Linked DNA regions of Macaca fascicularis. The protein of the gene in region 1 interacts with the protein of each later gene in a biochemical or structural test. Links are inferred from orthologs where the notes say so. Each region holds a gene or a part of one and is shown on either strand. Other genes may lie near its edges.

What was found.
Region 2: the proteins of UBE2E1 (region 1) and TRIM23 form a complex in vitro, tested with the Homo sapiens proteins (4 studies listed by BioGRID, with this or other methods). The link is inferred for Macaca fascicularis from reciprocal best matches to the Homo sapiens genes UBE2E1 and TRIM23.

What each region holds. Positions count from the first base shown.
Region 1 is NC_088376.1:24,467,722-24,470,907, reverse strand, and holds part of UBE2E1 (ubiquitin-conjugating enzyme E2 E1), read left to right. Parts: intron 1-1,843; coding exon 1,844-1,976; intron 1,977-3,186. UniProt on the Homo sapiens protein: Accepts ubiquitin from the E1 complex and catalyzes its covalent attachment to other proteins. Catalyzes the covalent attachment of ISG15 to other proteins. Mediates the selective degradation of short-lived and abnormal proteins.
Region 2 is NC_088380.1:71,304,935-71,308,588, forward strand, and holds part of TRIM23 (E3 ubiquitin-protein ligase TRIM23), read right to left. Parts: coding exon 3,642-3,654; intron 2,251-3,641; coding exon 2,035-2,250; intron 1-2,034.

The DNA of each region.
Region 1 (3,186 bases):
AATTAGCCAGGCATAATGGCGCATGCCTGTAATCCCAGTTACTCAGGAGGCTGAGGCAGGAGACTCGGTTGAACCCGGGAGGCGGAGGTTGCAGTGAGCCGAGATCGTGCCATTGCACTCTAGCCTGGGCAACAAGAGCAAAACTCCGCCTTTAAAAAAAAAAAAAAGAAAGAAAATCTCTCTCTGTATCTAATCTAAAACAAATTTTTTGGTGGCTTACACTTACAATCCCAGCACTCTGGGAGGCTGAGGTAGGAGGATTGCTTGAGCCCAGGAGTTCAAGACCAGCCTGGGCAACATAGTGAGACCTCAGTCTATACAAATGAAACAGAAAACATTAGCCAGGTGTGGTGCTGTATGCCTGTAGTCCCAGCTACTCAGGTGGCTAAGGTGGGAGGATCACTGGAGCCTAGAAGTCAAGGCTACAGTGACCCGAGATCGTGCCACTCACTGCATTCCAGGCTGGGTAGTGGATCAAGACCATTTCAAAAATAAAAAGTAAAGCAAGTTTTTAATAGTTTTTGGTAATACCCATCACAAAGAGATATTAAAGGATTAATAATGGTGATCTCACTGCTGTTTAATGAGAGAATACTCGTGGGTGTGTGTTGCTCTATAGTTTCCTTCTTTCTCTCACTTAATTCTGAAAACATTCCTGTGAGGTAGACAGTGTCCGAGCTCTTTCTGCCTCTTGGCCAGTCTGGGCCCTGTTCTTCCCATTACCCGCTATTCGGTTGCCCATACTTTCTCCCACCTTTTTTGCCATGTCATGTTTTCTTCCTCAGCTTGTATTCTCCTCTGCTTTTCCTTTGTAATAGCTCATTCCCCTAACCTGTTGCATCTCTCACACCAAATTTCAGACCAAGAGAAAAACGGGATGGGTTTGGGGCAAGTACAGGCCCATGGGTAGGCTTTTTATTCCCTCCGTCTTCATCTCTTCTTTCTCTTAAATGGAGGCATCAGACTTTGTAACCAGTTAGCAGAGGGCATCTTGAAGGAGTTGGTCTTGTTCAGTATCAAAACTCCTGACATTTAACCCTCTGCCTAGTACATGGGCATTCAGTAAATGAGTGAATAAATCCAATTCACATCGTATATTTAGTTAAAAGAGTAGTTTTGCTGGGCGCAGTGGCACTCCAGAAGCCAACACAATGCTTTAGAATGGTGGCCAAATTATGGTGCACCCATGTAACAGTGATTTATAGTAACAGCTAACGGGGTTGGAGGAATGTCTTTAAGTATTAAATTTAGAGAACCCAATTACGGAATACATATTGAAATGAAAATTGAATAACCTGTAACTGGATACTTACCATTCTTCTCCCTCTCCCACCTAACATGGTTTATAATGTAAAAAGTATGGCCATCTATTAGATTCTTTTTAAGGTGAGATTATAGAGATACAAGAGCAAGGAAGAACCAGTTAGTGGGTCAGAAAATGAAACTTCTGTGCTTAAGATGGTCATAAATGATGTAGCTCTGAGCAGAAACTGCTGTCATTTGTCACTAATTTAGCTTCTAGGTGCTGAGATGTGTTTCTCATTTAAATATTGTTTACACTTTCCTACGTGTCAAGGAGAGGTTTGAGAATTGAGGCAAGTTTCCTGCTTCTTCGTAGCTAGGTAGGCTTAGAATGGTTTTAACATTCTTTTCTCATCCACTTTACTTACTTGACCACTGGCTATGGGTTTGTGGCAGTTCTGCATCCATTTCTGTACTTGTTTTGTAAAGAGAATCCACACAGTAAACGAGAGGAGAGAGGTAATCTTTCCATCCTTTGTAGTACACTGTAAAAATTGGGATAGTGCCACCATCTGCTTATTTGTTGATGTATTATTCACAGTGCTGGTCCCAAAGGTGATAACATCTATGAATGGAGATCAACCATTCTAGGGCCTCCAGGATCCGTGTATGAGGGTGGTGTATTCTTTCTCGATATCACTTTTACACCAGAATATCCCTTCAAGCCTCCAAAGGTAAGAAATCTCCCTGTATGCTCAAATTTACTAATTCCCACAAGAGAGCAACTGTTGAGGTTTTTCTAAATTTAATTTTTAATCACAAAACCTAGATTTATCTTATGTCCTATAGATCTGAGTATTTTAACATATACAAAACACTTCTTTAGGTTGATTTTGCCTTATCTGGCAGAGACCATTCTAGGTGTAAGTGCTTTGTTTTGATGGTGCTTAAAATTGCGCTATTTATAGTAATATTGTCATCAACCTAGAATTAATCCCCCGTTTTCCAGCCCATAGAGAAGGGTTTTAAACAGTTAAAAATGGCGTCAAGCCAGGTGCAGTGGTGTGCACCTGTAGTCCGGCTACTTGGGAGGACTGTTTGAGCTCAAGAGTTTGAGTCCAGTCTGGGCAACAAAGCGAGACCCCCAAAAAAGGAGGCAGGACAGGTCAGGGGGTCAAACAACTAGAGAATCAGAATCTCTTACCAAAGTTTTGGATTCTATTCTGCTCCCTGTCATGTTTTGGTCTTGCTCAATTCCTTACCTCCAGGCCTCAGTTTTCTTTCTAGGAGAGGTGGGGATTGCCCAAGTCACCCAGCTCTTGTACTCACCCAAGTCACCCATCTCTTGTACTCAATCTGTGATTCTCATTCAGTCAGAAATAAAACGCAGTCTTTGGGGATTAGGTAGACTGCCAGATAAAATACAGTTGCAGCAACAAGAAGTAATTGAAAGTCACTTTTTTAAAAAACTGGTAAAATTACAGGTAATTTTTACTTTGTGTTTTGGTATATTTCACAAATAAAAATTAAGAGACCAAATAACACCTGCTCATGTGGCTTGTGTTCTGCTGTGGTCCTTGCCCATTACTGGCTCTGCATCCATGGACACTCGATTACATAGATAGTAAATTCTGTGATTTAGGTAGACAGGATGTCTGTGGGACCTGATGTAAAGGTCAGAAAAAAGCAGAAGTAGACTTCTCTTCAAATTTTGTTCAGCTTTTTGGGTGTAGTCATTGTTTGCTAAGTATGTTGTTTAATTATCTTTAGGTACCTATTATGTTGCACTTCAGTTTTTAAGAGAGACTTACGATTTTAAATATTTTAAAGCTTTTAAGTATTTTAAAGCTTACTTTGAGGCAGTGTAGTACTACCAGCTAGCACAAGAGGTCAGCAAACAATTACCTATTCAGACTTGGAAATGTTAATATTTAAAAGATTTAA
Region 2 (3,654 bases), on another chromosome or scaffold:
AACTTTCCTGAAGCCTCCCCAGCCATGCAAACCTGTGAGTAAATTAAGCCCCTTTCCTTTATAAATTACCCAGTCTCGGGTAGTATCTGTGGAGCGGTGTGAAAATGGACTAATATACCAGTCATTTTGGCACAACACTTCAGAAACTCTAAAACACTTAAATATTTCAGTAACTATGAACATACTTTTTCATAAAATAAATATGAATATACTTTTAAGTATTCAAGTTAGTATGATTTAGGACACGATTCCACTCTGATTTTGCTGTGTAGCTTCATTATCCGCCATGAGTTAAACATGTAGTTATTAAGTTCTTCTATCTAGATGCAAAGAATTCAGTGACACAAAGATGAACAAGATGCATCAAGATGCATCAAAGATGAACAAGGTCAGCATCTAAAACACACAGGCATATTGTCATTCGAGGTCAAATCAGAAGACACAAATCACACCACTATTTGAATAGAAAGAACTTAAAATAAAAACTGTTAACTAGGTGTGGTTATTAACGAGGTAGCTAAAAGGATAAAAGGAACTCTGAGGTATTATGGAGGTAGCAATTGTATGAAATAATATAGCTACCACTTCCAGTGCTGAGGGAATAAAAGGAAGAGGTTAGAATTATTAAAACTTAGAAACTTGCAGGAGGGGCTCACGGAGCTGAAACTCAAACCTCCAGGAAGGGTGGTCTCCTAACATGAGTAACTATGCCCCCTTTTGACAGTACCTAACATGGGTCCAGCTGGCAACACAATTACGAGGTCTATAGAGTTCTAGCCCTAGTATCACAAAGCAGAGGATAGAAGAGTAGGTTTGGAGCTGAAAATCAACTTAATAAATAGCATACATATCAACTGTTACAATTCAGTGTAGTAAGGACTCAATGATAATCCAAGACTGATGAGGCTATAGACTGGCCACTTTCATGTAAGTGTAATCAGATACTTAAGAGAAAAAGCTCTACAATGGTAAAAGGCTTAGCCTACAATGATTTGAAATCAACACAATTATCAGCAATATATCAGTGAAGATAACACAGACTGCAGCTTTTCTGAAATTCCTAGGGCAATAGTTATCCTTATACCTCACACTTAGGAAAACAGATCCAAAACACAAATGGGTAAGGCTGACATTTGTGTCAGAATAACTTTGAGCCTCACTTATTTAAAAAGTAAGTCATGGCCGGGCGCGGTGGCTCAAGCCTGTAATCCCAGCACTTTGGGAGGCCGAGGCGGGCGGATCACAAGGTCAGGAGATCGAGACCACAGTGAAACCCCGTCTCTACTAAAAATACAAAAAAAAAAAAAATTAGCCGGGCGCGGTGGCGGGCGCCTGTAGTCCCAGCTACTCAGGAGGCTGAGGCAGGAGAATGGCGGGAACCCGGGAGGCGGAGCTTGCAGTGAGCCGAGATCGCGCCACTGCACTCCAGCCTGGGCAACAGCGTGAGACTCCGTCTCAAAAAAAAAAAAAAAAAAAAAAAAAAAAAGTAAGTCATCTGCAAACTGGGTAACAAATTGCTTATGGTATCTCAACCAGCACAAAACATACGTTTGTTCTAACAGTGAAGAACCATCGAATTACAGCAGAGGTAGGCAGTACATGCTAGAGGGGCACTCAAAAAAAGACCAACAAAGAGAAAGCTTCAAAGAAAGGCAAACATTTAAGCTGGACCTTGAAGGAGAAGGAAGATTTCCACTATAAGAAAAGAGAGATATATGCACTCCAAGCAGGAAAAAAAAAAACAGTACATATATGCTTGGCAAAGAAGAATAAAAGGATTTGGCATTAACTGAAGAATGGCAAGAAGTTAGAAGGCTTCAAGAACCCATGGCTCAAGATGGGGAGGGCACATGAACGAGAGGGCACTGATAATTCCACACTAGTGAAATAATTCAAGGTTGCAGACTATGTCCTCAGCACAAAGTTACTGCATACAGCAGACACAAAATAATAATAAAATACACTAATGTATACCTCTGGTAATTATCTACTTAAACTTACAACTAAGACCCTAACCACATTTAAACTACCTACCTGCTGCAAAGTCTTTTCACAATGGAGGCAGGCTGCTGAAACCTCTGACAACAAAATAGTCATATCTTCTTGTTGCTGCCTAAGCCAAATCAATTTTTCACGAACATGAGCATCAACAACACTTAGAGCCATTTCTTCTTGACGACACAGAGTTTCATGTAGATCATAAAAATATGCTCGAATACATGACCGGGCATTCTCTGCAGTCCCTGGTACCTAAGAAAATGAAAATAAATTTTAAGCAACTGTAATGTTAATAAAGATTTTACCTGTGAAATATTTAAAATTTCAGCCTAGGCAACATGGCAAAACCCTGTCTCTACGAAAAATAGAAAACATTAGCCAGGCGTGGTGGCATGTGCCTGTAGTCCCGGCTACTCAGGAGGCTGAGGTGGGAGGACTGATTGAGCCCCAGAAGTCAAGGCTGCAGTGAGTCGTAATCACATCACTGCATGCCAGCCTGGGTGACCGAGCAAGACGTTGTTTAAATACCATCTATATTAAATTCCAAAATATAAATCTCCATGCTAGATCTTTCCCCTAATGCACAGACATTGGAAATTCAACTGTTTATAAATGACATCTCAAGCAAAATGGAATGCCTAATCTCCAGTCTCCCCTATTCCCAAACCTAATTGTCTCTGTCTTGGTAAATGGCAACTCCATCCATCAGGATGAAAGCAAACAAAATTGGAGTCATGATGATCACCTCTCTTTCATAGCCCATTAGTCCCTCAGCCAATTCCAAAATACCTCCAGAATCTGATCATGCCTCATCACCTCCAAGTTACCTATCCAATCAATATTAACAATTAATCACTAAGACCTATCTATTCTACTTCTTTAAAATCTTAAATCCATCAACTTGTGTCCACTCTCTCTACCCTAGTGTATTATAGGCCATAAGCATCTCTAGAATTTTAACTAGAAAACTTTAACAACATCCTAATAGGTCTACCTACTTCCAATTTTGTTGCTCCTCCAATTCATTTTCTACATTTAAAACAGCCTTTCTTAAGGAAAATCTGATCATGTCATTCCTATGTCAATTCTTCAATGGCTCGTCACTGTCCTTAAACTAAGTTCTGAACTCTTTATTAACATGGCTGACGAGATCCTGCATGATTTGGCTTTGAACTCTCCATATCCTCTTTTCTTGTCATGTCCCATTCAATATTCAAAGCTCTAACTAGTGAGCTTCTTTAAGTCTCTACAATATGTCCAATTCTCACTTCCAAACATTTTAACATATTGCTCCCTTCTTGGGACAATTCATTCCCCATTCTGCTCTTTTCCTTGACTGAATTTCTTCAAATCTCAGTTTAAACATTGTTTCTTCTCTAAAGATTTCTCTGACCTCCATAAATCATTGCCCGTTTTGTGATGCCAAAGCACCCTGTACTTCTCCTCCATAAAATAGTCACCACATTTAAAACTCTCTCTGTTCCGTGATGAATGACTTCCTTAAACACAGGGACTTTTAAAAAACTTTCCAATGACTGGTGCAATACTAGCAAATTGTAATTGCTCATTAAATACTTAGTAGAAGGTGAAAATATGAAAAATAAAAAACAAGGAGAAAGGGGAAGAAGAAAAAAAAACCATACATGTTCTGTGTGA